Lonchura striata: one gene and its partners. The protein of the gene in region 2 interacts with the protein of the main gene of each other region in a pairwise test. Links are inferred from orthologs where the notes say so. Each region holds a gene or a part of one and is shown on either strand. Other genes may lie near its edges. The genes, in order: PRRC1, SEC23B and homeobox protein Hox-A3.

Region 1 (10,368 bases), on a different chromosome or scaffold from region 2:
CTTTTAATCCATCTACAGGAGTTTACATTCCTCTGCACGGAAGTACTTCTTAAGTTATTCTTCCAATTATGCACTGAAAAACATGAAAGAATTTTCCATTGTGCAACTAATGTAATCTCTGATCAAAACCTATAAACATTTTTTTCGAGGCTCTTCCAATCTGCTGCTTGATTTCACCCAATACCATGATGAAAAGCTGCTGAGAAGTGCTCACTACTTAAAATAAATTCTGTGGCCATGCAGAATGAGTGGTAAAATTCCATAGAGCAGCCTTCCAAAAACTCTGTGCAGGGATTTTTCAGATTTTCAAAAACCTATTACAGTGGTGGTGCTGGAGGGGAGGGAGAAGGGGCAACACCCCAAAAAGCCACCTGACATCTGGAGTCAGGAATTAGTAGAAATATAAGTATCACCGTAGCTGTTCTTTGCTGTTAACTTTGCAATAAAAAAGACTCAGAACAGAAACAGTAATCCCAAATGTGAAAAGAATCATGTCAGTTGCTGAAATAAGATAAAAAATCTCATATGAAACAGATTTAAATGATGTCTTGACTAATATGGAGCCTGCACAACCAACCACTTTCTGTACACTGATTTGTCAACATGGTCCAGTTGTGGTTTGCAAGTACTGAATTATAAAAAAAGTAAATAATTTAAAGAAGAAAATTAAGGGTAAAGACCAGGCACAGGAATAGGCAAAAGGAAAGCAGAAAGTGCAATGGGTAACTTAATAGTTCATAGTGTTGAAATAACCCAGCACCACAGATTACTAAAATGACCCTACAGGATATTTATGAACATAACTGGCATACCCAAAACCAGCTGTGTGTGAGGAAGAAGAAAACTATGGAATAAAGGACCCAAGAAACCCATTAGTGTTCAGCCTCAACAAAAATTCCAGAAGGGGTTCCCAACTTCCCTCAGGGGAGATGCAGGGAAAAAGTTTCCCAGTTGGATCAGCCTACAATTCTTTAATGACTGTTGGGTGCAGAACTCGGATGTCTTTTCAGTGACTTGAGAAAAAACCCAAAAGCCATAATAACTCTTCATAATCCAAGCCACAGACACACAATTTGCAACAGGGAGCACCTGGAAACTCAGCCTAATTTCTTAAGGAAGTGACTTTTGTGCCTTCTTGCAAACTAGAACATTTTGGTTTACTAAACTGAAGGGGCAAAGGAGAAACCCAGCGACAGGGAAAGGGAAGCACATGGAATTTAGGTGAAAACAGCATTAGCACTGCCATCTAGTGATTTGTGACCCGAAACTGCAAATTCGATAATGCCACGTCTTCCTAGAAGGAAATCCTGGTTTGTTTTTATGTGGAAATTAAAAAGTAGGAATATGGTGACGAGAAATACAGGACAAATGTATTCCCAGTGATCAGTCATCCTTAAAACAAACCCTTTAGGAAGCAGAAGCATGAATTTTGTTTGATCAATCATTTGGTTTCAAAAAAAACCTTTTCGGTACAATGAAGACACTATGGGGATGATGCTAAACCCTCACATTACAGAAAACCCACAAAATGTGTCTCTAGAACTATTTCTACTGATTCTCACCAGCTGAACTTCATCCATTAACCTAAAACCAAATCTCAGCCATTAACCTAATTCTTAAACTAGGGAATTAGGCTGTGTATACTGTATGGAAAGCCAGGCTAAAACAGGGCTTGTGCTAAAAGCAGGAAGTAAATAATTTGATTTAGAGACTATAATGGCAAATTATTTGTCTTTTCACTTTAGTTCAATAGAAAGTAATTACATTTGTACTAATATTTTGCAATAATCTTAACAACTTAACCACACTTCAAAAGCATTCTTCAGGTTATTACTATAAAATACAGACATTCACAGCTAATGATAAGATTACCTACAAATGGAGATTAGAAAATTTCTTGTGGATAAAAACACATTATCTAGAATCACCGATACTTCAGAGTTTATAATGAGGTGTATTTTCAGTCATCTTGAACTGATCCCTTCTCTTTCAGTGCTCCTGCTAATAAAAAAAGGCAAAAAATGCAAATAAACAAAAAACTTAACAAAAAAGAAAAAACTGCCCCCCAGAAATCCACAAAAAGAAACCACAATATATTTAAGTACTCTCAGAGAGAAAACTGCTCTCTAAATGGAGCCTAAAATGAAACACAACCACACTAAGCTGCAACACTGAATTGAAATGCCACTAAACGTTTTGACTTTAATCACAGTGGACATAACTTTTAATTAAGCTTTCACATGCTGCAGACACTGCTCATGGGTAAGCACACGCTAACAACTGTCCAGAATAAGATGCAAATGACAACACTCTTCAAAAGAATGAAACCAAACCATAACTGGACCCTGAGTACGTTTAAAACTTTCATCTGAAAAGTGCCTCATGGGTTTTATTTTCAATTTTAGAAAGTGAGAGCATTAAGGAGAGCTCCTTTCTCTGTGCAAAGAAAGCGCACAGAGAGGTCATCAGTTTAATCACCTCGGGTGAAAGACTTGCTCCAAAGTCCAAAGTCTTAAAGAGAGAGGTAATCGGGAGAGGGGATAAACAACACAAAAAAACCCCAACAAACCAGCCCCCCAGAACTCTCCTATACCCGATTTCCAAGACTTCAGACTCTTTACTGATGTCATGCCTCGAACAATGCATCTGTGTGTGTGAGGTGATCCCTTGTCTTGAAACTGAGGTGGCAGATAACTTTTCATTATTAAGGCCTTAGAGGAGGAAACTGAAGCTAAGTCAACTTTCCTCCCAATTCATAACGAAGCTGATTGCAGCAGGTAAACAGTACTGTGCACTTATTTTGGGGCTGCGTTTAACTCGTGCTTCCTCCAAGTTAACATGAGCACTTCAAAGATGTGACGTGAGCTAGAAAATCCACAAATGAAGTAACTGTGCAATGTGCTGGCTTACATGTTTTGTAGTACAGCTTAATGCAGAATCTGATGAATTGAACTATCAGCAGATAGTGAAAAACACTCAAACTAAAAGAAAATCGATTTAGGTCAGATATTAGGAAGAAATCCTTGACTGTGAGGGTGGTGAGGCCCTGGCACAAGGTGCGTAGAGCAGCTGGGGCTGCCCCTGGATCTCTGGAAGTGTCCAAGGTAGGACAGGGCTTAGAGTAACCTGTGATAGTGGAAAATGTCCCTGCCCATGGCAGGGGGTGGAACAAAATGATCTTTAAGGCCCCTTCCAACCCAAATAATTCCGTGATTCTATATTCATCACATAAATTATGTTAACCACAACACTTGCACAACCTTTTCACCTTACAAGAAACCCAAAAAGCAACACCAAAGGAGCCTTTTCACCAGTGTGCATGAGAACTAACACACACCGGGAGAGGTGGAAACACCAGGCATGACAGCAAGTCTGTTGGCCTTCCCATGTCACTAGTGCTGACAGACACCATAAACCCACCAAACTCCTTTTTCCAGAGGTTGCCTGACCTCATCAGAATCATCAGAATGGCAATTATTTAATTTCGAACATTTTCAGACGCACACCCCCCGCTTTCCCTTTGCTAGCAAATACTTCAGTGTCACAAAACCCTCTTGAAACAGCCCACACCAGTGATGGTTGCAGTGGGAGAACTCCTGATCTGGAAATGTGGAAGTGCTAACACCATCCAGCAATGCCATGAAATTAGAGCACCAAAGGAACAGCCAGACCCAGCCCATTCCAACAGCCCGCACCCATCCTTCTTCCAGGATATGGATATCACAGGATGCAACAGCTCCAGCACTTTCACAGGTAATTCCCCCAAAAGAATGTGAGTTTTTAAAAATGTGATCATAAAAGCCAGTAAATAACACAAATTGCAAATTACGCCTCCAGAGACACCACAATAAAGCAGTAAGGCTCCTGAAGCACCATTCCATCCGGCATTAACGAAGGTGGGGATGAAACCGCAGGCATTTTACCAGGACCAGCACTGCCACCCCTCACTGCAGGGCTGGAATTGGTGCCCCGAGGCTCCGAACAAGCCGGCACCCGGACTCCCCAGGCAGGAGAAACCCGGCCGGCAGCGCTGACCCAGAGAACCACCGGGACAAACCGCACCGGGAACTGCGCTGCCGCCCGACCCTCACCTCACAGCGAGCCTCGGAGCCGGCGCTGGCTGCAGGAGCCGCTGCAGCCCCGCAAGGACGCGCCGGGTCACAGCCCCGGCAGAGCCCCGCTCCTCCGCTCCGGGCCCCGGCACCGCCCGGCCCGGCCCAGCCCTCCGGCCGCTCCTCCCCGCCGCCCGGAACCACGGGTCACAACGCGGCGAGTCCTCCCGCCGCCAAAAGCGCCCTCACCGAGACCGGCCCGCCCGTCCCGTGCTGTCTCTTCCCGACCTTTCCCGTCCCGGGGATACGCGAAAGGAGGCCGCGGCAAGCGCCTCCTCGGACTTCAACTCCCAGCATCCACCGCGGCGCCGCCGCCGTTCCTTGCCACGTCTCTCACGGCCGCGTCCAACGGCCCCTTACGGGGGGGTCGCACCCCCGTGCTGCGGCCTCAGCTTGGTTCGCTCCGCACGACTATAAAAGCGGCGGGGCGGGCGGGGCCTCGGCAGCGCCACGTTGGCGGCGTGAGGGTGCGGGTGTGGCGTGTGCGGGTCTGAATTACGTAGGGCCTTTAATGCTCGCACTTGAGACAGAGCCTGTGTAGATCTGTATTCGTAGAGATTTGAAGTACGTCTCGGCTGAAGTGATTTCTGTTCACGGAGTGAATTAGTTTGGGAAAGGACTCTGACGTTACGGAGTGACCAGCTCCCTCAGCCTCTCCTGGGGCTCCATTCCCTTCCCCAGCCCCGTTCCCTCCTCTGGCCACGCTCCAGCCCCTCCACTCCCTGTGTGGGGGGCCCAGAGGTGACAGAACGGCCTCAGCAGGGCCAGATACCCTGATCCAGGGAGTCACTGATCCAGGGAGTCACGGTGATCCAGCCTCCCTGATCACAGGGACGGGCACTGCCCTGATCCAGGGAATCACTGATCCAGGGAATCACGGTGATCCAGCCTCCCTGATCACAGGGACGGGCACTGCCCTGATCCAGGGAATCCCGGTGATCCAGCCTCCCTGATCACAGGGACGGGCACTGCCCTGATCCAGGGAATCACTGATCCAGGGAATCACAGTGATCCAGTGTCCCTGACCACAGGGACGGGCACTGCTGTGATCCAGGGAATCACTGATCCAGGGAATCCCGGTGATCCAGCCTCCCTGATCACAGGGACGGGCACTGCCCTGATCCAGGGAATCACTGATCCAGGGAGTCACGGTGATCCAGCGTCCCTGACCACAGGGACGGGCACTGCCCTTGATCCAGGGAATCACGGATCCAGGGAATCCCAGTGATCCAGCCTCCCTGACCACAGGGACGGGCACTGCCCTGATCCAGGTAATCCCAGTGATCCAGCCTCCCTGACCACAGGGACGGGCACTGCCCTGATCCAGGGAATCACTGATCCAGGGAGTCACGGTGATCCAGCCTCCCTGACCACAGGGACGGGCACTGCTCTGATCCAGGGAATCATGGTGATCCAGCCTCCCTGATCACAGGGACGAGCACTGCTCTGATCCAGGGAATCCCGGTGATCCAGCCTCCCTGATCACAGGGACGAGCACTGCTCTGATCCAGGGAATCACGGTGATCCAGCCTCCCTGACCACAGGGACGGGCACTGCCCTGCTCCTGCTGCCGCCCCACGGCTTGCACAGCCCAGGGGCCATCGCCCTTCTCGGGTGCCTGGGCACCAGCAGCACCATGGACATCAGTAGCCCCTCTGATGTCCTTCCCTGCCTACAAGAGAGGAAAAAATTACATGGCCGTGCAGGCTTGACACTCCCTTAGCCACCCATTCCATTTGTAATTCAGGAATTCGGGGTGTATCTCCGTTAAGGCCTGAAAAATATGACCTGATAGATAACACTCGCACTGAATCTATGTATGATATTAAGCAAAACTCAGCAAAGCCAAGTACCTTTAAATTGGACAAATTTCAGGATTTCTTTTTTTTCAGAAGGTCATTTTCTCCCTTTGTGGTGTCTGCATTTCAGAGTGAAATTTAAGGTTAGAGAAACGAGAATTAAGAGGGAATATAAGTGAGGAACAAAAGCTGAAGCTTTTCTGTGACCTCAGACTGTCCCAAAACGTTGTTGCTCCAGTGACAAAAAATGTCCTCAGCCTTGATAATCAAGCGCTTTCTAACTTGTTTAGAAAACAGCAGAGTATGTGAGAATCTATAAAAATGGGGCTCAGTACATCTGGCTGGGAGGGAGCAGGGACCTGAGGTACCTGGAAATGTCGCCTGAGCCACTCTAGGCACCTGACCCACTGCTCCCCCAACCCTGGGAACTATGCTCTGTGCCCCTCACACAGGCAGGGCAAACGGGCAGGGTTGCAGTCACACTCTTGGTGAGGTTCAACACAGCTTGTCTCCGCTCCAACAGAATATTTGGTGAGGAGCAGCTTTTCTCTGTTCAGACAGAATACTCAGATCCTTTGCAGTCTTGCGTTGCTGCGATTCTTCATAGTCCCTTCATTTCAACTCGAGCGCTTTTCTGCAGGGCTAGCCAGCAGGGTTGCAGTCACACTCCTGGTGAGGTTTAACGCAGCTTGTCTCCGCTCCAACGGAATGCTTGTTGAGGAGCAGCTTTTCTTGGTGCGGGTGGGTCCGCACCTTGAGTACTTGTGTCCAGTTCTGTGCCCCTCAGTTTAGGAAGGATGTTGAGATGTTTGAGCGCACCCAGAGGAGGGCAACAAGGCTGGTGAGAGGCTTGGAAAACAAGCCCCATGAGCGATGTTTGAAGGAGCTGGGGTTGTTTAGCCTGGAGAAGGAGGAGGCTTCGAGGTGACCGTATGGCTCTCCACAACTTCCTGACGGGAGGTTGTAGACAGGTGGTTGTCGCGCTGCCTTCCTGATCGTCTGCTAGCCCAGTGTCCTTGGCCAGCTCTGGGCAGCTGAGGCCGCTCTCGTTGGCCACTCCAGGCACGAGCTATGGCCTGTGGATATGAACCCACCAGACGGGGATGCCGCGCTCCCTCCCCAGATCTGCCCTGGCTAGCTGTCCGATGGGGCGAGAGGGGCAAATGGAGCACCCTCCGCTGGACCCTGCGGGGCTTTGGAGAGTGCTCCGTGGGTTGTCCAAGCGCTGCTAGACCCCGCGGCGGTGAGAGAAAGAGAGGCTCCTGGTAGGGTTATATCCGAGATTTATTGTAGCCCAACCGGGGCTAACAACATCCGAATGATCCTGCTGCCAAGAGCGCTGACAGGGTGCTTGCAGCCATTTTTAACTGGAGAGGGAGGGGAACCGGTTGACCAATGGGGATGAGATAAGGAGTGGCTCTTGTGTGGGGTGATGTGCATGGGGTCCAATGAGGGGCAGACGTAGGAGGGGCCCCCAGACCCCTGTCTAATCACCCGGCACCCAGGATAGAAGCTTCTAGGTGTCCGGGAGGGGATGCCGAGTGACTGACAGGGCGCCTGGGAGGAGACAAGGGAGTGGCTAGGCGCTTTAGGGGAGGATTGACATATGGGGTAGGGCGGGAAAACTAGGAATAAACCAAGTAGAACATGGGGGTAAATAAGAAAGAACCATTACATAATAAAACTTATAATAACACAACTCCACGCGGGGAGAGCCACGGAGCGATGCCAACAGAAGCAAAGCAGCCGTCCTTCTGGGGGTACCTGAATTCCGAGTTTATTGGAAGTCATACAGACAGCTGTAACCCAAAGGATATAAGCCCCAAAAGGCACCTGAGCACTGTGTGCTTTTAACAGGTGGAGGTAACATGGGAAGGGGACAACATGGGAGTGGTAACAGGAGTGACAAACGGGATATATCCAATGAGGGAGGAGGAAGGGAGAGGTCCCCAGGGACCAGCCTATCACCCAAGGCCTTAGCTGGAAATTCTAGATGGAAGGGTGAGGCCTCAGAGTGACGGACAAGCCCCAGGGTGGGGTCAGGGGAATGATTCATCAAAAGGCTTTGCCACCCCAACAGGTGGAAGTCGGTCTTTTCCACCGGGCAGCAACTGACAGAACAAGCGGACACAGTCTCAAGCTACATCAGGGAAGGTACAAGTTGGATATTAGAAAAAAAAATTACACTGAAAAAATACTAAAGTATGGAATTGTCTTCCAAGAGATGTGATAGAATCACCATCTCTGGATGTGTTTAAAAAAAGACTGGACGTGGCACTTCGTTGCAGTGCATGCCATGCGGGGCTTGCTTGGCGGCTGCAGCAGGGGAGTGACTGTCACCCTGTGAGCTCTGCAATTCCCAGCTATTGGCTCGTCAGGTACAGGGACAGATAACGATGACACAGGGCTTGGGAGTGTTCCAGAGTGGGTTTATTATGGGGAGAAAATGGAGCCCCATGACCAGCTTGGGAGGGCAAACAGTCTTAAACAAAAACTCAGGAGGAAGGGTGTTTGAACAATAACCAATGGGTGCTGGGTACACTGCAGTTACAAGCGTGAACGGTGTCCGGCAGGACACTTGGGGTGGCTCAGCCAATCCCATTCCCAAGGGAGGATAGGGCAGGGTTTTGGGAGGTCTGAATGACAGAGGATGCGGGGGGCTTCACAGAAGCCATGGGGAAACTTACAGGGGAGGGACCCAACACAGCTAAATTTCAATGGTTTGTATGCATGTTAGGGGCCTCCTTTATGATGTCAGAATCTTCCCTGTGCTTATAAATATGTCATCATTTGATGGTAAATATTTGTCTCAGTTTTGTTTTTCCTGTCCCCTCTGCCCCCATGGGATGTCCCAACACCTTGGCAGGGGCCCAGAATTGGGAAGGGAGGACAAAAAAACCACACCTGTAGTAAGAGAAATGTGCTCTCCAGGGATGCCCCGATCCTTCAGGGAGGGCACCCGCTGGTCTCCATGACTTTGGCACACACTCCTGGAAACCAGTCCCACCCGCCAGAGATTTACCCTGCTATGGCCCGCTTACCCTCTGGGCTCTGGTTCTTACTAGAGTGCACCGACTTGATGGAAGGCTGATGGACTGGGGACTTCTTCCTTTGGCTTGGCTTCTCCAGAGACCTGGGTGTTCCTGGTGCTTCAAGACCCGTCCCCGGCGCCTTGGGTGCGGCCACTGTCAGTCTCAGTTTGCCCTGCAGGGATTCTGACGTTTCTCCTTCTGCTCAAGGCCTCGACTCACCCCAGTGTGAGCCATCTACCAAGCTGCCTCTTCCTCATCCTGGGGTAAGTCCACCCCCTTGAGGCACCCAGCAGCCTTGAGTGGAGAGCACACCAGCGAAGATGAGAGCGAGTCCTGGAGCCTTAATATCACCACTCTGCTCCTACTAAGAGTGTGGCAGAGCTTGTGTATGTTCCTCGTTGCCTATGTTCTCTTCCCTTCTTTGTCTTCAGTGAGGTGGGCGCTCTCACAAATTGGCCTATTTATTTTAAAAGACGAAGAAGGGAACCATCACCTGCTACCAGTTGTTGCAGCGTGCGGGGTGTGCTGGGAGGCTGTCAGGGGCACGACCATCCCCCTGCAAGCTCTGCGATCCCAGTCACCTGATGGCTTGGTGCGCGTACAGATGGAGGCAACACAGGGCTTGGGGTGTTCCACAGTGGGTTTATGAGGTGGATAAAATGGAGCCCCAAGACCAGCTTGGGAGGGTAAACAGAAGGTTTTATACAAAAACTCAGGAGGAGGGGTATAGGTGAAATAAATGGGCCAGGAGACCTGCTCCTTTTTAAGGCCTTGATTGAGTGACCAGCTCTGGGTTGGGGGCCCAAGGGGTCGCGCACACCGCCGCTGCTCCCACGTGGTGATGCTGAGGAGGAGGAGATCGGCTCCACTACGCAGCAGAACCGGGGCTTCTGTCCTCGCGGGCATGCCCAAGAAGGAGATTTGTGGCTCATTGCCCGGGGTCCTGATTCTGTAGACGCACTGTTCAAGTTAGGGCGGCATGTTGGCGGCTATTCCACTGGTCTGGCAATGTCCGGGGACCTCTTGCCGACTGTCCGATCCGGTCCGTGGCCCCGAATTCGGCATGGCTAGTTGTCCTTGGGGCTCTTTTTGGGATTTCGCGTTCAGTTCGCGATTTGCATATTACCAGAGGTGGATCGGCCACCATTTTGGGGAGCAGCGGAGGTGAAAACCCGACGGTCACAAAGTGAAGGGCAAGGGGGAAACATAACAAGGGTGCACTTAAAGGGGATTTTAACGGGGTTTGAGCAATTAACAGTATTTTAATTAACATTTTTTTAATATGAAATTGAATTTATTCATAACATAGGAATAATAACCAATGAGGATAGAACTGGGGAGGGGTCTAAGGTGGGACCAACGTATCATAAACCTGTCGGGAAATAGGGGAGTGGAATAACACAAAGTAACAAATAGGGTGTCGAG
Region 2 (10,323 bases):
CATGCAAATTTTCCAAGATAACAAGCCTGTGCAAAATAAAAAATTTAATCATAGCAAGACATCAGAAACTGACAAGAAGGCAAAGTCACATAAAGAAAAAGAAAGAAGTTCAAAGGTGAGTTTGCTGAAAGGCATGAGAGCTATCACTGAAAAAGAGAAGCTGAGAAAGAGAAAACTGTTTTTAATGGAGGTAAGTAATTGTGACAAGACAATACGATTTAAATCTTCTTTCCCCTCCCAGGAAACCCAGGGTTAGAGGCATGACCTACAGATATAAAGGGGCATAAAACATGTGCCCTGCTGTCTCCTGTGCTGGTAAAGCTTACCTGCTGGAAATAACAGGCTGCTCTGGAGTTTGAAGAGGTCTTCCCTGTTGCATGGGGACAGCTGGCCTTGAAAGACCAAGCATATCCTAAGAACAGTAAAGAGGAGGCAGAGATGTACTATTCAAACACTAAATATATTACTTACATTATTACTTAATATACTCTAAAGCATGCAATACTGTAGCATTAAATATACTTAAATCTGTAAAATTATCCATCTTTGCACTGCCATTAGGAATGGATCATGGGTCCATTATGTGAGATACACAAACTCAATCCTGAACAAGCTTCCAAGACATTTACAACTCAAAGTAAATGGCTAGAGTTGTACTTATACAAAAGCAAAAAGACAGGACAGATAGTGAGAGGGCAAAAGGCTCACAGTTGAGGGCACTAAGCCCTTCTTTCTCCCAGAGAGCCCTGAGCTTGAGAGCCCAACAGAGCTGAGAGGTACAAGCCCCTGGCCTGAGGGATGGCAGAGCAGCCAGGGATGGCAGAGCACACCTGTATCTGCTTGGCTGTCAGGTCCTTGGTGCCCCGGAACACGTAGCTCTTGGAAATCCCTTCACAGCTCAGCTCGTGAACCTGGACCATCCGGCCAAAAGTGATGAGCCCCACCAGGGCATCAGGAGGCAGCAGGCTCAGGGACATCTGCAGGGACTCCTTCAGGGCCTGCAAATCCTCCTCTTCCAAGCACGTGTCCACAACATACAGGAAGATCAACGGCGTCTGCGGACCTCGCTGATGTGGGAAGAAATTACATTTTCTAAAGCCTCCAGCCAAGGAATAAAATTAGCCCTTCTTAAGCACCTTGCAGACATGGTATTTATTTGCATTATCCTAAGAAAATTTTACACATATATCATTTGTCACAAACAAGACAATTCTGGGAGCTTCAACCTCGTCTGTGGCTCATTTACCTGCACTATGTATTCAATTGTTGAAAACTGAGGCATAAGCTCTGCTGGTTGATTGACTTCAGAAATGCCAGCATAAGCTGGGGGAAACTGAAAAAGAGAACAAAAAATTAGGACAAGGAAGCTGCAGAACAAAAATATAGGGCTCTCTAATGCAGCACAGAGCCTGCCCTGCTGATGATGTAGTTATTCAACTTTTTATTTACTGACACTGCACCAACCTGATTAATTCATTATAAAAAACCCACAGTGCTTTTCCTAAGAACAGCCAACAAGGGGCCAGGATGGACAGCTGCTCAATCCACTGTAAATAAAAGGTAAGGCTACAGCAGCAATAATGTACTAGTTGAAATTCTTTTAGCCGTAGTTTCTGATGGCAAAAGTCTACTCAAACCTAATGAATTCCATATTCTGCAGGAATAGTAAATATCAGATGCAAAAAACACACTGGGACACATAGAACAAAATAGCATTTTAATCTCTTTTCTATGCTCTGCATGCCAGCAAAATCACTGACAAGACGTCAGGTAAACCAGACTGTACTCTGGCCTGGGTTCAGCAAGAGAAGAAGGCCAAGGGAAAGGATCTAGAGAAGCAGAATTTACATTTAATGTCCAGGGAAGGCCATCAATAAAGTGTTCACTGAAAAGGTCAAAGTTCTTTTTCCAACTTACCTGGTTTCTCTGAAAACAGAAGTTACAAGCCCAAAGCTTGGCCCGATAGTCAACTTGGCTGCAAGGGAAAGATGAGGCATTGGTGTGACTTCAGGAACAATTTTACAGGAATGCTTCACAATTAATTCATTAATCCATGCTGGTTCACAGCACTGAGGAAGAAACAGACACTCCAGCTTGAACAGCAAGTGTTTTAGGGATTCAGACTCTGGTTCTATTACCAGGAAGTTCATTAGCTAATCCAGCCCTGCCGTTTGCAGGCTTGTCAGCATGAGGGACCACTGAGCTCTCTGAAGTTCAGCCCTTGGCAGACACAGACTTGGGTCTACTAATTATTTCACTACACTTAGGCTAATCTCATTGTCTTATTGTTTGTGCAGCTGTAGCACACAAGTGTTCCAGTCTCAGAGCAGCAGGAGCCATCCACCCAGATCTTGTGCAAACACAGAACAAACAGGCTGTTCCCTGTCCCACAGAGTTTACTCTCCTCAGCCCAGTACAACATCCTGCTAGTGCAGGATGCCTCGCCACGTTCTCATTCCATGGCTTTGATCTCATTTCAATTCCTCTTATTGGTATTGCCTGCTTTTTCTCAGCCCAACACCATGCTCCCAATATGCATGATCATCTCATAATTTGGGACCGAGATATTCCTCTAAAATTATTTCATTATGCTCATACTGGAAACTGACCTACAAGCAGCAGGGTGCGTAGGAAGCAGGAAAACAAGTAAGCATCAAGTCCAGAGCACAGTATCAGTACAATGGGCATCTTTGTCTACCATGAGTTTGCTCTTTGTCTTCTATGAGGAAAATTCTCTGGGATGCTGAGAGGACCCTCTGCCTTAACAGCCTCTCCAAAGATCCTCCTGTGTCCTCTGCTCTTGCCAACTCTAGTAACAGGCGTGTTGATGTATGGATTTTAACAAGCTCACTGCATCTAAATGAAAGAGGCTGCCAGGCACTGGGCAGAGAAAAAGGGGAATAAGAAAGTAGTGAAGTTCAAATGAAAATTAGATAATGTCCAGCCCCTTCCAACATCCCCAGCTAAGCAATTCCTACCAGAGTGGGTTGAGCACAGCTTTGCAGGTTGGCCTGCTGCAAAGCACAGGTTCATACTGCACAGGAGGCAGGTCCAGACGCTCCTTCAGCGGGGTCAGGAGACAGGCCAGGGGCACAACCATCCTTGTGGCCTCCAGCCTGCTGGAGGGCCACATGTTCCAGCTGAAGCGCACGCCGTCACGCTCCTCGTTCTGCTGGATGAACTCCAGGTACGTCGCCATGGCCCCACTGAAGCTCCTGAAGGACAGAAGAAGGCACAGAAGGTTGGGGCAGCAGCCACTTGTGTGGACAACAGGCCTGCAAAGGAGCTCAGCAGATCAACTACAGGTGGGGGCACAAGACACTGCCAGGACAAAGCTAGCACAGTACAATGAATTAATCCCATTATCAAGGAAACCACGTGACTCCATTAATCTCTTCTGTCCAGTGCTCTCATCAACATTACAGCCAATTAAAACACCACCAAGTCCAACAAAGAAACAAGGAAAGCTGACACTCAAAGTCAGAGCATAAGAGGTTGTTTTTTTTCTTATGATACACATTTAACACGTCAAAATCCAATGAGGTTCATGCTGGCCTCAAGGCAATCCTGCCTGACTGGGTCAGTAAAGGAAAATAGGCCAGATTTGCAACCCATCCTGGAGCCTTCAGCTGAAACACTGCAGGGAGAAAAGGAGGCCAAGTCTGAGACCAAAACAATCACAAATGCCACCAAGCTGCCAGCCTGACCTGCTTACAAAGACAAGAGAGTACATGACAAAATACCAAAAACGATCTTTTGGACACCCACACTGCCTAGCATCATTGTTCCACTGCCAATAAGGAAAGAACTGAGAGTCCAGAAGGCTTCAAAAAAAAAAAAATCAAGGAGGAATATTCCCAACACATTCTCTGTGTTGTCTTACTAAACTCTTCAAAATAAGACACAAACAAGAGTTTCCAGGCCATCACTGCTTTTGATTTTTCTGAGAAAGGCAAGAACAAGCTTATCAAAAAACTTACTTGTCAAATCCAGACCACAAACACCACACAGCACTAGCAGCAACTCACTGAGCCAAAAGCAGCAGCTCCACAACCTACTTCAGACAAGGAAATTCAGAGGCTCACCTACAGCTGCAAATGCTCCAGGATTACCTTACTCCTGATCCTCACTGCAGATGGGATATTCAGGAGGGCTACTCACATGAGAAATCAGAAGCAACACCTCCCCTCAGAGGAGGAGAAGTTTTGGTATAACGTTTTCCTACAGAACTCCAAACTCACTGACGTTTTCCTCTTCCTTGCTATTAAGGATGTAAATCAAGCTTAAGGAGAACTGCCCCATGTTTCCACCCCCCTGAGTGGATGGACAAAAGAAGGGTTCACAACACATCCCCACTACAAATAGATCTGTCAAGGTGAAAATCAGAGCTGAGTCTTCCTGTAAAAGATCCCGCACATCAGAACAGCAATATAAACATTTGATTTATTCCATGTTTCCCCAGCTGTAGCCCAGCATCACTTCCCTGATTGCCATGCTGGGTCTGGCACGGGCTGTGGCCCTACTTTGGGGTCAGGACAGCGGGAGGACAGGTGTAATCGCTCAGCACGGCTGCAGGGGACACCGCAGGTACCACCTCCGCCCCTCCGAGCACCGATCCCCGGCACGGCCACAGGGCAAAGCACTGCTGGCCCTCCACAGGGGCACGCCTGACCCCAGCCCAGGGGGACACTGCGGATCCCCAGCCCGGCCAAAGCGAGCACCTGCTGCTCTGTGGGACACGGCTGACCCCATGAAAGCACCGCGGACCATGCCCAACTCCCCTCAGGGGACACCGCTGACCGCTCCCTCCAGACCCTGCCGCAGGGACACCACTGGCCCCCTCACAGGGGCCGTCACCCACCGCTCCCCTCAGGGGACACAGACCCCTCATTCCCGTTCCCGTTCCCATTCCCTTCCCTCGGAGCCCCGCCGCTCCCACCTGCCCGCGCCGCTCGCGCCGCTCCCTCCCAGCACGCCCCGCGCGCCCGGCAAGGCCAGCTCAGCGGTGCGCGCTGCCCGCGGCCAAGATGGCGGCGGCGGCGGCACGCCCGCCCCACCCCCGCTGAGGCTCCGCCGCCATCTTGGCTAAGGGCACGCTGCGCCGCCCTTCAGGAGGAGGGGAGAGGCAGGCTCCTTCCAAACATAGCCGGGCGGCGGCGGCAGGGAGCTCGGCTCGGCTGAGGGCGGCAGGTTCGCCTTGGAATGGCGACAGGCGGGGTGTCCCTGCTAAATGTGGGATGCGGTGCCGCCTTCCTACCCTGGCACGGCATGAGGGAAGCAGCCCCGCCCTCAAGGGGCTCGGCTGCTTGGGAGCGCGCTCGGGTGTGTTCGTCAGGGAGCATTCCCAGGGTTATGAGTAGCGCTCCACTAAAAACACCGAGACACTTCTTAAAGAAATAAACTGCGAGCCCCACAGAGTCTCAGTTCCCAGCTCCTCTCTCGGGCCGAGGGTTCTGTCCCCGGACACGCTGGGTCAGCGGCACACGCTGGGCAAAGGCATGAGGCCATCTATTCCAGCAGCAAGGCGGGGACAATCCATCGGGTTTTCCTCCCGTTCTGTTCGCTGACAGAGCTTTACCCCCACATCTGCTCGAGGCCACAGTGGTTCACCCTTCTGCCAGGAAATCTGTGCCTCAGCCTACTGGGGAGAGCCCTACAGCGCCCAGACCCTCCGAGAGATCCAGGGATGGACACAATTTTCAGGGAGCCTGTGGATACGAGGTACAAGTTTGGCACACCTGAATTGCCCCAGGAATTTGTCCCTGCCTTGAAATTAGACAAATATGTGTCCTTCTTTCATTGCTTCCATCTTGTATTGCTTCCCAGACTCTTCCAAAGCCAAGAGCTTGTCCTAGTGAGCCCAAGACAAGAATCCTTCCCTGCAGCTTTACGTGATGCTGTGCAAGTGGTATTTGTCCTATCTGAATGCACGGATGCAAATCCATTCCTGAATCCTGCAGACTTTCGAGGTGCAAAGGTATTGCAGGGAAATACCTCAATTCTCTGCTTCTAAGAGTTTTGGTGTTTGCTTTACATTCATGCAGCGGTCAGCTTACAAATATCTCCCAGGCTTCTGTGTGGGCACCGCTCCACCGTTGCTTAGAGGAAATTATGCCCTGTGGTCAAGTCTACTCACCCATGTCCAGCTCTGGGGTTTTTTTGGGGTTTTTTTTGTTTGTTTTTGTTGTTGTTGTTGTTGTTGTTGTTTTTGGGGTTTTTTTGGGGGGGGTTGTTTGTTTTGGTTTTTTGTTTTGTTCTTTTTTCCCTGTTTTATTTCTTTTAAATGCAACAAAAATCTGGAATATGCAGAGTACAGTTCCATGTCCAAAACAAAGCAAAATGAAATGCTGTCTGAGGTGAACATTCATTTTTGCCTTCCCAGCTTCCTGACATCCCAAATAGAGAGGGAATAAAAAAGTAGAAGCATGCTACTGATATGTATATGCTAAAGTGTGTAAAATTCTAATTACTAATATTACTAACATTCTCAGACCCAGGACTGGCTCTCCAAGTAGGAGGCAAAGCAAATCTGCTCTTCTGAAGTTGCCTGTTTGTTTACATCTTCCTCCCACTGCCACATCTCAACAGCAAAGAGCCTTACCAGGACCTAGGGCTTCAAGGCCATAGTGCACCCCTCTGCAAACATTAGATTAACTAAAATATTGAGCAATGATTGTGAGTTTGTGTCCTGCTTTCAACTTTCAGAGTTAATTTTCCTCCCTTGGAGCTGGTTTAGTGTTGCATTTTTTGATTTAGGATTATGAAGATATTGATACACCCTGATAATTTAGTTCTTGCTGAGCAATTCTTATGCTAAGTCAACGACTTCTTAGGTTCTTCCTGCCAGCCAGGAAAGCTGGGGGTGCGCAATTAATTTGGAAGGAGACAAAGACAGGACAAGTGATCCCAAGTGGTTCAAGGGATGTTCCTTGTTCCTTATCATATAGTGAATGATAAAACTGGGAAGAGTTGGCTGCTGGTTTCCAGCCCTCTGCTCTGGCACTCCTTGGGCAACGGTCAGCAGAGGAGGAGCAACTGTATTGTTCATCACTTAATTTATATAATCTCTTACCATTATTTCCCCTTCATTTTCTGCCCTGTTAAACTGTCCTCATCTGAATCTACAAGCTTTACTTTTTTTACAATTGTCTCTCCTATCCCACTGGGGAGGAAGTAAGGGAACACCTGTGTGGTGTTTAATGTCTGCTGGGTTAAACCAAATCAGTTTGGAAGAGGAGCACAATCTTAAAGCCCTGTGTCTGTGGAACAAATACCCAAGTAAAAGCTTTCCCCAAAGCATTTCCTGAAAGAAACACAAGCTTGCTTCAAAAGTGAGAGAAAGGAAAACACCACAGGCTGCCTACACAAGCCCCAGCTTAGTTTGTGTTAAACAGCTGTCAGAGAGGAGAACTTTGAGCTCTGGTTCCTGTCCTCCCCATTCTCCAGAAGATCTCCTGAAGAGTGAGCAAAGTCCCATGACTGACTTTCTCATGGCAGAAGTGAACATTTTCAGCAAGAACTTGGACATCACCTGTGGAGCCTGTCATGCTACCTTCCAGTCTCCTCCAGGAGCTAATCTAGGCTCAGCATGGCTGAGGAGGGCCTAGCCTTGCATTTCTCACAGGTGAAATGACACAAAGTCCCAGCCGAGCAGAGCAAGAGGAGGGAAAGGTGGTCTGTGTGTGGCAGAGGACAGCTCTGTTTGAGGTGTCTGTACCCTGTTTCAAAGCATCAAGTGTTTAGCAGCAATAGGAGACCCAGTTGTCTCCACTCACTACAGTTTTTTCCCAAAATCAAATGCATGTGGAGACAAAAAAGAAACCAGTAAGGCTTAAGACCGAGCTTTTTTCCTGTTGGAGCCCTGGGGGAGCCATCCCAGGAAGAGACAGGATATGGTGCTCTAACAGCACCAGCGGAACAACAATTACCCGGATCGGTTACCATCGAAGTACAAATACAAAACCCCCAGCCAACCGACCAAACCCAGGAAAAACTAAACTGCCACTCAGCCACGGGGAAAATTTTCACTATCGAAGCTTCAAGTTTGCTATTCATCCTCATGTTTTAAACTTTGGAGTGTAAAGGCTATACATGCCAGACAATACCTGCCAGCTTTACACTGTCAGTTCACAATCCAGCCAGCTACCATAGTGAATGTTTGCCTTGGAATTAAAACACAATTTTGCACTCGACTCCATGTGGCATCTGGGTGTGCCCACCCTCCAACTTGCCTTTGGAGAGTTGGCTACTACTAGTGAGGCAACCACTCACAAGAGGCTCGTGGGTTGACAGCAGGATCAGGGCTCATGAAAACAAGAATGAGCTCTCTCCAGCTCAGGAGAATCTCATGGTCCTGCAGCAGCTGAACTCTAACCTCTTGCATGAGGCCTGTGAAAATAAATGAGCAGATCATGCTTCCTATTTGTCATCCATGTTTTAAGGGATAATTCAGCTTTCCACATGTAAATGTTTTCATGTTGAGTACTGGAGCTACTATAGTAGTATCCTCAAAACATTACATTTCATACCAGTTTGGAACAGGGACAGCTTCACCAAGGAGAAGATTGACAAAACTCAGGACACCATTAATGCTACCTTGTAGCATTTATTCCCTTTTCAGATAAGAATGTCAGCCTAATACATCAGCCAGGTTCATGAAGAACCAGAGTGACAGAAAGATCATTTGTCTGATTCATATAGAAATAGATCAGACAGATTGCTATCTGTAAGAAACTAAATTGAAATTACTTTCCCCTTATAGGCACTTTTCTCCAAATCTGAGAAGTCTTGTTACAGCTTCAACACTAAGAAGTTTGAGATACCACAAAGGTCATCTAAGCCAGATAAACACAATGCCAAAATTTAAAGAGCTTAATAAACCATCTATCTACTTCCTAAAGCTGTTCACTGAGGAGAAGCTTTCTCTCCTTTTTCTTATTGCCAATGAATGTGATTATAGAGCATAAAGTGACATACCTGCATGATAAAGCCCTGTTGTTTCCCTGGAAGTTATCTTCTAGCTGTAGTGGAGCACAAACATTGTGTTATCTCTGCAGAAGCAGGCTCAGGACCCCATTGTGTCAGGTCCTCTTTAAAGACAGGAAGACAAAGACAACCCCAGCCCCACATCTCAATGAAATTACCTTGGCTGGAATAAAGGATGTCTGATCCAAGGCGCCTTCCAGGGAAGAGAGCAGCATTTTCCCCTTGGCTTCTCTGTGCTGAGTAGTTAAAGGGGGCAGAGGGAGAATGAAGCTCCAACCATTTCACCCCCACATCTCTTTCCTAAGAGCCCTTCTGCCTCTGTAGAGATATGCATCCCTTTCACCTGGAGACAACACTGCAGCAAAAGGAGAGCCTGCTGAAGGTGCTCACCTCGCTGGGACAATCAGAGTCCTTCCATGGACTTGCCAGCTTATCAGGTGCTCATTGTTTGCTCCAGTACACGCTCAGCTGCTCCCACACAAGCAGCCTTTGCCTCTGCATCCATACCCTCCCTGCATGGACAGGAGCCATGGGAGCTTTTTTTATTCTTCATAAGGCACCCTCATTAGCCTCTGTCCGCCATGCTGTAAGGGAAGTGGAAATCAAGCAAGATTTGAACACTTTCGTATGTGATCCAGACTGCTCTTAGTGCAAACTCCTGGATAGCATTGAAAATGCTGATGTAAAGTATTACCCTTATGAGGTAAACTGTTCCAAAATCTACATTAACCCTCTGTCAGGTTACCCAGGCTGCTGCTAACTCAGCCACAGAGGTACTTTCCCACCACCCTCCCAACACATTGTCCAAAGGGCTTGTTTTCAGCCAGGCACACTTGAAAATAGCCAAATGCAACAAGCCCTGTGTTGTGCTTGACCTCCAGATTGTTCCCCATTGCTGGCAGAGCATTGTAAAGATACTGAGTATTGTGGAGAGATCCACCCTGGCCAGAGCCAGCTGAAGCCACAGGCAGCAAGTGGTACAGGGGCCAGCCTGTCTGTGCACAGCCCCTGTGCACCCCACCCTGCCTCCTAGTGTGCCATTCCAGCCCTCTGTTTCTCTGGATGCTGGAATCTATAGAAATTTTCTCTGTATCATCAGGCCAGAGGAACCCTTTCTCTTGTGGAAAACATATCTTCCCAGAACACCTCTACTCAAAATTTCAGCGGAGCCATCCATGTATGTGACACAGCTGCAAAACACACCACCAGAAATTTGATGATGAAGGAATAAATACAGCAGATGCATCACCAGGCAGAAACACAGGAAATGAAACAGAGATGTACATAAGAAAAATCAGGAATTTAATGATAAATAAGCAGGTAAGAAAGATAATAAAC
Region 3 (10,869 bases), on a different chromosome or scaffold from region 2:
GGACGGACAAATAACAGAAATTTATTCGCTAACCATTCTGTTGTATGCTCGCAGGCAAAAAGCAGGTTTTCTAACATCCCCACATGCACTTCTCGTTTGCAGGACTGGCTGCGGAACTCCTCGAGGAGGAGGCGAACAGACAAGCCGCGATAAGAAGCCATTAAATACCGAATTGGCTCCAACCCTCTCTCCCTCGCCTGGTGCCTTTGATTTCGGAAGGAACTAAGAACGGACAAAGAAATTCTCTAACTCTTTCGCTCTTCAGATGACTTTGCATCCTTCCTGTCCCCAATGCCTTTATAAGGATGGCGATCACTCAGGTCCCGTACACTTCTTTGTCTGCCCAGACACGCGCATTCACCACCCACGGAAGATGAATAGGGCCAATCCAGAAAAAAAAAATTCCAGCTAGGTTAAATATTTATCGCAACAACAACAAAATTTCATTCCAGCAGTCTTGTTCTTCATGCAGGTACCAGGCAAATCGCATTCTTACAGCTGCCACCGGCGCAAAAGCAGCGACCGCTGCCCGGCTCTTACCTCCTCCAGCTGCGCAGGGTTGGGCTGAGGCGCTCCCAGCTTCTTCCACCGCCCCGGCCGAGCGGCTTCGTTTCGGGGCTCCCTGTAAACAAGCAACAAACAGTGCCTTACCGGGGAGTGCAGGGGGAGGTATTTTGCTCCTTCATTGGCAATACATGGTTTGCCGGGTGCGCTGGGAGAGCCCGGAGAGGGGCGGGCGGGGATGGAGCGGGCTCGGGCTCCCGCGAGGAGCGTGGATTCCCACCCGGGTGAAGAGCACGGGGAGCTGAGAAATAAAAGCGTGCGGTTGTTTTGGTTGGGTTTTTTTCCTTATTTTTTTTCCCTGTAGACAGCTATGCCTTCTGTCTCCAAGTGTTTGGAAATATTGTCATTCCTAACTCTTGTTACATGAATGTCTGCTTTATTTTCCTCTGGGAAACCTTTGTTTAGGATCATTTAATCAAGAACAGACATTAAACACAAGTCGTGGTGTTCATCTCTGCTGAATAAAACTCGGAAAGGATTCCAGTTTAAATGCGGGGCGTATTGTGGTTGGGCTTTTATTCAAACGGTTAGCCGGGGCCCAATCCTGCCACCACAAGCTCACTAAGAGACTAACAATTGACCTCAGCGAAGCGGGATCGGGCCCAAATGCGTAATTTTTTTTTTTTTTAATCTACCAGCACAACACATACACACACACAGACATACACACCCCCCCTCCCAAAAAAAAAAAAAAAAAAAAAAAAAAAAAGGCAACAAAAAAAAAACCGACATCCATGAAAGCCATTGACGGAGGAGAAAGTACTGGGCTACTTATTTTCCCCTAAAATAAACAGTATTTCTGGTCCAAAAATACAACAGTCAGGTTATTTGCATGCCACTTATTGAATCACTTTTACATATGAATTTGTCAGATATAATAATATACCCCTGTATTCAGTCTTGTTAATAAAACCCATCTAATGCATCTTACAATCGTCAGTAAATGTAAATGCTAATAATTAAATAACACCATTCTAGCTGAAGGGTGTTATCCGAGCCCTGGAAATATTAAGTCTGTCTTGGGACAACTTTTGGAGCAGATACTTTGCTTTGCTAATTTAGTAGTTCCATAATTACGCTAATAATTTTAAATTTGGTGTTGAACTCCAGTCTACATAAAAGCATGCAATAATAGCCTACTAAACTGTTTATTGCTGTCTCATAAATTTGCAAGCGCTGACTGTTAAAATCTACTGGCAAACACAAAAGAAAATAGAAAGTTCGAACTGCAATCAGAGAGCCCGGGCGCTGCTTCCTGGGGTTATCCTTAGCTCTACCTTTCCTTACACTCGGCTTCAGCACAGGGGGAACCCCCCGGCATTTTAGGCTCAAAGTCGTACCTTAGCCGTTTTGATCCCTAATCAATAATCATGTTACAAACAGCAATAATCATCGATCAAGCGTGACTGGGTTGTCCCACTCGTGTTAAATATGGAGCGTGTATCTGAAAATGGTGCCAGCGACTTTATGTTATTTATTTTGCAGCTATTAGGTCACGCTACCATATTTTACACTGCCACGGTCCTTTAAGAGTACGTTGTTTCTTGAAAGAGTTGCTAAGTAGCAATAAAGCACTTTACAAAAACTATGAATTTTTTTTTTAATTTGTTGTTATCCCAAGCTCTAATATTCATTGCGGCACTCTAAGTTCGTACATAAATCGTTCAGACTAATGAGTCATAGAGAAATTCGCCCATGACTTTTCCTTTGCAATGCTCACTGCCTTTCCATTGCTTTTTTGGCCATGTATTAAGAGACGGTGATTTATTAACGCCAAGAAAATTGAACAAAGCAGGTCCTCCTGCACTGTGGCACCCAGCTTTCCACAGTGTGAATTAGAACATTATCAAGTGTGTTTGCCTCCGTAACACTTAATCACCAAAAGCCATAATGTGACCACAAGGCAGCTAAAACAAAGATTTAACATTTCTAAATATTAAACTTGTTAAGCAAATGCTCAGCAGACAAAGCAAGCACAAACAATTAAAGTCATCAAGCTAGAAATACACACTACCTACTTACCAACACAGACCCTATTGCTTGCTTAAGAAGTTTAGAATCTTTCAAGATAAATCAGGTGGGCTTTTTTAAAAGGGAAAAAAAAAAAAAAAAAAAAAAAGGAAAGAAGGAAAGAAAAACAAACTCCAGTAACAAGGAGTTGAGTTTCACTTCTGAGAGAATCACTCCTAGTGAGGACTGACGGCCACAGATCCATTCCTGACTATCTGCATTAATTATTTAATGAGTCACGTGACCATAAAGATTAAAATTTCAATATCTCGCCCAGAACAGACGCAACACCTTTATCTGCGAGAGCAGGGATGCTCGTAGTTGGGTCCCCTAATCTCTACTGCCTTTGACACCTCCTCAGTTTCCAGGGAGAGCTCTGGGGCATTATTAACAAGGGTTTGTCCCGTTCTGCACAGCGAACCGGGGCAGCTTTACACCCTCCGGCCCCCCAACTCCAAATGAATCAGTTGAACCCAAATCGTCATTGTCTGCGGCGGGGAGGGGGCTCTGCGCTGCTGGCAGGGGGACGGGAGAGCATCAGGGCGGCAGTGCACGGGCTGTCCGCCACGGGTGAGTGCTGCCTGTCCGCGGGCCCGGGCGGAGCCAGTGGGGCTGCCCGGGGCCGGAGGGAGGCGGCCGCGGAGCTCCCGCTGCCCACGCGGGGAGCTCCGACCCCACCGGGACCCGCGTGGGCCGGGCTTGGGCGCCCGCGCAGCGCCGCGCAGCCGGGGACAGCCCTGGAGCGACACCCCGGGGTCCCACCCCGCCGCGGCCCGGCCAAGCCTCGAGGCTGCGGACACGGCCAGAGCCTCCGCCTCCTCGGGGACGTGACGTGCGGGTCCCGCGGCCGCGCCGCTCGCCCGGCTCGGGCGGAGGCGCGGGAACGGCGGGCGAGCCCGGGCTGCCCGAGTGCGGCCCCGACGCGAGGCGGGGGGGCCGGGAGAGCCGGAGTTTCACTGCGGGCCTGTCAGGATCTCCGCCTGTGTGAGGGTTCCCCCCACCCTTTCCTCGTTTACAAACACGGGACAAGAAGACTTGGGACTGTAAGCACCCTGGGAAAAAAAAAATAAAAAAAAAAAAAAAAGGAAAAAATAAAATAAAAAAAATCCTAGCATTGCGTAATGCCCCGATGCAGGATGGCCCTGGTCATTAAATACCACAAGGCGCTTGTCACAGTTCAGCTCCTCCTGTAATGAAACACCAGGTATAGCAAGAGGTTGCAGGAGAAACGAGGATGGGGATCTCGGCAGAGGAGTATTTTTCTTGGTGGGTGGAGGGGAGATGGGTGCCGGGGTTAACAGAGTGGCGTTCCCTGCTGACAGCAAATTGACTCCGAGGTGATTTGGTCTTTCTTTGAAATATTGACACACTTCCACTTCCAGCGTTTTGAGCTGTGCTCGCCTTTGTGACCAAAGCAGATAAATCCGTGTGTGAGAGACACCGGGAGAGCGTGGGGGGGAGGGGGGGGGGGGGGGGGAGACATTTAGGTCCAAGTGCCGGATTAAAAAGAATACTGTCTTTAAAGGTCAAGGGTTTGAAGGGTCAGTCTGCCCCTCTAAAAAAAACAATTAATGGGATAGAAAATTTGTCCTCTCGGTGAACTCCTGGTTGCCCTAGCAAAGGGAGCACAATGCGAGAATTTAAACAGGACGATGTAATTTTGGAGGTTATTCTAAAGATGGGAGGTATTGGACAGGCAGCAGAGGGCTCAGAGCCCGGGAGCAGCATTCTACTCCCAACAGAAGCAGAAGGGAAAGAGAAGGAAGGAGAATTTACCTTAAACGATGATAATCGGCCATGGGGTATTTTGCAGTCCGCAGTTCAATCTCCAGCAAGAGAATGTACATTTTTTTAGGAGACAGCCAAGATGCTGTGTCTTTACACATGACCACTTTTTTTTCCCCCAGGAAAATCCTTTGCGTCTTCACAGACTTTTCCAAGAGAATGCCTTTCAGAACCGCTGTTGAATTACAAAGAAGTATTTATTGTAGGAGGTGATTAATGATTCTCGCTAAAATTGCTATTTGCAGCGTGATTTCATTTCTTTTTACAATGGGAGTAAACCAGGTTTATACGCATAGGCTGCACACTAAAGAAATCCTGCACTGCCAGTTAATGCATTTCAGCTGGAATTTTGCTCAGTTGTGCTAATTTTGGCTCTAAATACATTGAGGGATTCTCAGGCAATAAACCAAATGAAGAGTTACACATTTGCGGATAGTAGTTACCTGACATACAGCTATATATTTTTTTCCCTTTATAAGGAGATAACTGGTGACTCAGGATTTAGTAAACAGTAATATGCGAGCAGAAGTGTGCTTTTCAGGCCTACTCTTTAGTCAGGTATGGGGACAGCCGTGTTTGCTGTGGGTGTTTGCAGCTGCCACCGCCCTGATGCTGAATGTGTTCTGCCAGTGGCACGTTACATTTTTCTTTGGAATGGTACATATTCCATGGCTAGGCAGGGATGCTGGCACAACCTTTGGAGCCTGGTGCTACCTCAGCCAGGGATGATGATGCCCCCTGGTCCTGGCAGCCTCACTTAGGTGAAGACAAGCACTGATTCCAATAATCCATCTTGTATGCATTCGGGTGAGTAAATAAATAACTATTGGCCTTCACATCTTCCCTGGAAGATTTAGTAGCACTTGAGTTCCTTTCCAAGATTTTTCCTACCCAGCTCAGTGCTACACCGTGTTGTGAAAGCCCCAAGCAGGGCTCTCCATTAGCAGTTCTGTTTTGCCTGAACTCCTTAGCTGCCTGGAAGCAGGAAGATGCACAGCCGGAGCTGGAACCAGCTGAATCCCATTTTGCCACAGTAGTTGTGACAATCTCGGTCAAAAAAGCCTCATGAGTTGTATCCAAATTCATGCGTCTACCAAGGCTTTCTCAGCACATTTTGAAATAATCTTAAAACAAAACAAAACAAAAGGAAGTATACACAGAAAAGGCAGCTTGAAAAGAAATTTTAGGTTACCGTTCAAGTATTCCCCTTAAACAGTGCTAGCCAGCTAAGAAATCATAATCAGGCGAAAATGAATGAATAAACCAGGACTGGCTAAAGATTTAAAGTGTTATCACGGCATGGGAGCTTATTGGCTCCCAGAAGAAGCACAGTTTCTCTTGTCAGGCAGCTGAAAACAGTCACACGGACAGCGGTGGAGTCAGACTCATTCTGTCTAAGTCAGCTAAAGAGAGCACCACTCACCTATACAATGAAGCAAGACCTTTCTTCGCCCTGCAATGCAATTTTTCCCTGCCAGGCAAGTAGGAGTCAAGGGCTTTTTCACCACGTTTAAAATAACCATTACCTTATTGACAAGATTAATCCAAGTCAAACCAATGCATTAAACTGTTCGTTTCCATTTCTGATGCCAACACCAGCCAAGCACAAGGTGGATGAAACAGCACGTAGTGGACTTGTGTTTCAAGCGTTTAATTCTTTTGTACAGAATAATCTTTATTACTAGCATTTGGCACTGTTATACATTACACCAAAAATCCACAAATTGTACATGGACTCAAACTACTTAGACGGTGCCAAATATGAAGACAGCAACAGCCTTTATAGCAATATTTCTTTAAATAAATGCAATAGGGAATGTGGAGAAAAACTAATAGATCACAGCTACTGAGGGGGCTACACTTAAAACCAGTTAAGTTACCTTTGATACATAAAACATTTTCCATTAGACAGCGTAAGGGGACTTTTTCATAAGTCTTTAACCTCTTGTAGACGTGTTCATTCTCCCATGTTGGTCTGTGTGTGTATACGTGCCTGTGCACCACCACACACACAAGCACACACAGAGAAATCCATGAACACACCACAAAACAGCGCTATTCAAGTCAGTGCCTTACACAAGTGTCTCACGAGCTCTTTACTTTGTTTTTAATGTTTTTTATTTTTAACGTGTTCCCTAAAAAAAAAAAAAAAAAAAAAAAAGAGTCCATCTTAGGTACAGAGAATTCGTCCATGACAGCATCCATCCCTCTCTTATACCGAGGGCAAGAGAGCGTTTCCATAAATAGAAAAAAATGATGGGCATGGAACCATTATCTATATACAATGTAGACAATCGTCCGGGTTTTGGTTTAAACATGTGCCCGTGCTTGGACACGTCTCGTCTTCCTTTTCTGCTCCTGTTTTGTTTTACACAGTTTGGTCCAAAAGGCCAGCCTCCACCTCGAGGCAGCTTGAAAACCCCAATAGATAGGTAAATATATATATATTTTAAAAACCACAACAACAACAACGACCAAAAAAAAAGCCAACCAACCAAAAAAAAAAAAAAAAAAAAAAAAAGACCAAAAAGACTCAAACCAAAAACCGTATTTATAGAGCAGCTGCGTTGGGTGTAGCCCCATCGAGTGGATGGGGGTGGCCCTGTGTCTGTGCTTTGGACTGCTGGCTCAGTGTGGACTGGTTTGAGGAACGCATCTTTGTGTTAGGCAGTTTATGGTCTTTCTTCCACTTCATGCGCCTGTTCTGGAACCAAATTTTGACCTGGCGCTCGGAGAGGCAGAGGGTGTGCGCGATCTCGATGCGTCTCCTTCTGGTCAGGTAGCGGTTGAAGTGAAACTCCTTCTCCAGCTCCAGGACCTGCTGTCTGGTGTAGGCAGTGCGAGACCTCTTGGGCTCCCCTCCGTTGTAATTGGGATTGACTGAAACATGCACGCACAGGCACACACATACACACGCGGAAAGAAGGAGAGGGGAAGGGATGGAACATAATCATTATATAATAACTTGACACCGGGTTCACATAAGATACATAAACGGCAAGAAAAATTGTTTCCCAGCCTATCGACAGTGGGGACAATCGAGGAGCAATAAAAAATGGTGATGGGCATTTGGGTTAGAAGAAAAGCTTCAAAGACACATGGCCCAGAGCCACTGCAGGGCAATTAAATTTATGGGGGCTATAATTACTGCCCTAACAGTTTGGCGTCTCGTAAATCTTTTGATAAAGGACCCCGGATACAAAAGGTTTCTCACTTTTTTCTTTTTTCTTTTTTTTTTTTCCCTTTTTTTTTTTTTTTTTTTTTTCCTTTACTATTAGGAAACGCAGACGGAGAAGGAGGGGAAAAAAAAAAGCCACACACGCACCGACCCATCCCGGTCCCGGGAGCACCCTCCCCCCTTCTCTCCTCTGCAGGCACATCCCCACCTCCCCCTGGCAAGGGCAACTCACCCGTGCTCACATGGATCTTCTTCATCCAGGGGTAGACCACCGGCTCCTTCCCCTTCAACCCGGGCAGGCTCTTGTCGGGCAGCAGCGGACAGGCGGGCCCGGTGCCGGCCCCGGCGGCGGGGGCTGCTTCGCAGCGGCGCTGCAGGGCATGGCCTGGGAGCAGGGGCTGGGGCGGGCCGGGGTGGCCCTTGGCGGGCGGCGGCGGCGAGGCGCCCGGGGGCGGCTGCTCAGGGCCCGGGGCGGCGCTGCCGGCGCTGCTGTAGCTGTAGGGCGCCTGGGGGTAGGAGGGTGCCTGCGCGGGGTAGAGCGCCTCGGGAGGCGGCCCCGGCGGCCCCGGCGGCGCCGCGGGAGCCTGGTAGCCCGGTTCCCGGCGCGGCCGCGGGAAGTACTCGGGCAGCGCCGGGCCCGGGTGCGCGGCGTGCAGGTGCGGCGGCGGCGGCGGCGGCGGCGGCGGCGGGGCGTGCGGGTGCGAGTGGTGCGGGTGGTAGCTGGCGGAGCTGCCGGCGCTGCCGCTGTGCTGCGTGTATTCCTCGCAGGGAGGGAATTTGGGCTCGATGTAGTTGGAGTTTATCAAAAACGAACTCATGGTCATTAATTTGTGAAGTGCAAAAATACTAATTTTTCTCGCGTTGTCGTTTTTCTGGGCTCGGCGAGGCCACTCCCCTTCCCCCCCCTTCCCTCCCTTCCCTCCCTCTCCCCCTCCCGCTGCTGTCAAGTGCTGCCGCTGCCAAAGTTTGGGCCTCCAGCCCTTCCCCCCCCCCTCTCCCCGCTGCACTCCCCTCCCTTCCTCTCTTCCCACCCCTGGAGCGCCTACAACACACACAAACACACACCCGCGCACACACACACCCGCACCCCCCGCCGCCCCGCCACCACCTGACCGCCAGCGCCAATTACCGCGCGGGGCCGCGGACCCCGGATCAGGAAATGGAAGAGGGACGAGCGGCCGCAGGGCAGCTCCGCGCCCGCGGACCCTTCGCGGGGACGGCGCCTCCCCCACGGGCGGCGGCTGGCTGGCGAGGGAGCGCCCCGCGTCCGCTCCTCACCAGCATCCCCGGCTCCTCCTGCCCGCCGACCCGGGCAGCGTCCAGCAGTCGCGGTGTCAAGCGAGATAAAACTAATCCGGCTTTGACAGTCTCCCACCCACCCCGCCCGCCCCAGCACTTTTTGTGTCTTCGTTCTCCCGTGGGAGAGTGTAGGAAGCAGGGCGAGGAAGCGGAGCGCAGCCCAGCTGCGTGATCCAGAAGGAGGCAGGCATTGCACAAGGCGTTGCACAATCCTTTAAACAAACCCATCTCCGAATGCCGGGGCTGCGCGCAGGCAGAGGGCGGCAGCGGCTGTCGGGCACAGGCCACCGGCCGCCCTCCAGGGTCTGTCCCCAGCGCCCCGCCGCTGCGGACCGCGGGCGGCCGCGAGCTGCAGGGACAGCCCTTTGCCCCTTTGAAGCTGGGCTAATTGGAGGAATAGACGCAAAAGTTAGAACGAAGGTCGCGGGCAGGCCGAGGAGAGTCCTCGAGGGGCTTGTGGGGTGTGAGGCATAGAGCGAGCCTGAAAATAACGGGGAACAGAGGGGAAAGGGAGAGGGGAAGACGGACACGACGGTACCAAACGCTTCCTACCGGGCTCACTGTGAGCATCCCTCCCCGCGGAGCAGAGCTTTCTAAAGTACGAATTTAAGTCCGTCGGTTTGGTGTGCCTCGTCTGGGGTTTATTTTTTAATTTTCACTTTCATAAGAAATCGCTAGTGCCTTCGCAGCAGTAGCTCGCAAACCCTGGTGTAGGAGGGAGAGGGCACTCGGGCAGTTCTGCGTTGCTAAAACTGAGACTGTTAACGGTATTTGCAGCTCAGGGGGAAACAAGACAACCGCCCTGACCTTAGGTAATTGAAATTTGATGGTTAAACTAATTACGCTCTTATTCTAAGGGGAAAAAAATACTTATTGAATGTCAGCTAGTCTGCCACATTTGGAGTAGGAGCGAACTTTTTCAGATTATTTTTTTCATCTGTACAGGAAGGAATATAAACAGATAGAAATATTTACCACACCCTTAGAGAATATAATTGCTGAGTGGCTAAATATCATCTGCTGTATGGGAAAATACTTCTAATATATCAAGCGTAAATATGATACAGTTTAGATCTTGCCTTCCTAAAGATATTACACTAACAGTTACCCTGGTTTAAATTCAGATTATTGTCTTTTGCAGTTTAATAGATAATGGATACGTGCAATAAAATTCTATTTGAATATATATTCTATCTAACAAGACACACAACGTATCGATTTATATTTTATCCACAGACACATAGGCACGCACATTGCATGCGGTTTGTAATATGTTAGAACATTTCCAGCACTTGGGTATACTGGGGTACTTATCTAAACAATCACTCATTTCCTCCTACTATCGAATGTCTAATTTGTAAAGAGAGTTAAAACACATTTACTTACTCATTTCTAACAGCACATCTATGGAACTCTAACTGGCGTAATAGATAAGTTTCTCTATTTACTCTGCGTGGAAAGGAAATGCGGTTACACACACGCGGTTGCACACAGAGACAGCCGCAACTGCTCAACAGCACACATTTGATAGAAAAGGGGACATTGTTTTATTTATATTCCAAACAACAAAACAACAGCAACCCATTTCCTAAAAGAAAAAAAAAAACAAAAAAAAAAAAACCACAAAAAACAAAAACCTCCTATCTGCATGACTATTAAAAAGAAAAGATCGCCGAAGTCCACCACGACAGCATTTTCCCGGTATAAAGAGATACATGCACACATATGAGACGCATACATACAAATACCTGCCGGCTAGCACCAGACGAATTACACTGGGGTATCGTAAATATTATCCTCGGCATAAGTCCTGAGGCTCTATGGCCGGAGCACTACAGCGGGCTGCCGTGTTCCCACGCCACAGTAAAACGCAACGAGAAGTGTTGTCTCGGTTGGTAAGATCAGCGCTATATTGGGAGAGTTGACCGGCCTCTGCTTCATATAATTTACTGTGATTAGATCTCAAAGTTTCACCGTGTCCTTTTCTACAGTAGGGCTCTGGCGCTTGGTTACAGAGAGAAGGAGTCAATTTT

What was found.
Region 1: the proteins of SEC23B (region 2) and PRRC1 interact in binary tests that used the Homo sapiens proteins (3 or more experiments, as listed by UniProt). The two-hybrid records come from large-scale screens. The link is inferred for Lonchura striata from reciprocal best matches to the Homo sapiens genes SEC23B and PRRC1.
Region 3: the proteins of SEC23B (region 2) and homeobox protein Hox-A3 interact in binary tests that used the Homo sapiens proteins (3 or more experiments, as listed by UniProt). The two-hybrid records come from large-scale screens. The link is inferred for Lonchura striata from reciprocal best matches to the Homo sapiens genes SEC23B and HOXA3.

The regions. Positions count from the first base shown.
Region 1 is NC_134642.1:83,731,545-83,741,912, reverse strand, and holds the start of PRRC1 (protein PRRC1), read right to left. Parts: upstream 4,422-10,368; 5' UTR 4,302-4,421; intron 4,220-4,301; exon of another isoform or gene 4,092-4,219; intron 1-4,091. UniProt on the Homo sapiens protein: May act as a regulator of the protein kinase A (PKA) activity during embryonic development.
Region 2 is NC_134605.1:22,409,045-22,419,367, forward strand, and holds the start of SEC23B (protein transport protein Sec23B), read right to left. Parts: upstream 5,011-10,323; 5' UTR 4,940-5,010; intron 3,216-4,939; 5' UTR 3,200-3,215; coding exon 2,979-3,199; intron 2,966-2,978; exon of another isoform or gene 2,610-2,965; intron 1,976-2,609; coding exon 1,918-1,975; intron 1,334-1,917; coding exon 1,247-1,333; intron 1,068-1,246; coding exon 831-1,067; intron 413-830; coding exon 327-412; intron 1-326. UniProt on the Homo sapiens protein: Component of the coat protein complex II (COPII) which promotes the formation of transport vesicles from the endoplasmic reticulum (ER).
Region 3 is NC_134603.1:123,454,029-123,464,897, reverse strand, and holds the start of homeobox protein Hox-A3, read right to left. Parts: upstream 4,446-10,869; 5' UTR 4,351-4,445; intron 623-4,350; 5' UTR 541-622; intron 1-540. Other genes in the region: HOXA4 (homeobox protein Hox-A4), read right to left, coding at 6,911-7,239, 7,770-8,361. UniProt on the Homo sapiens protein: Sequence-specific transcription factor which is part of a developmental regulatory system that provides cells with specific positional identities on the anterior-posterior axis.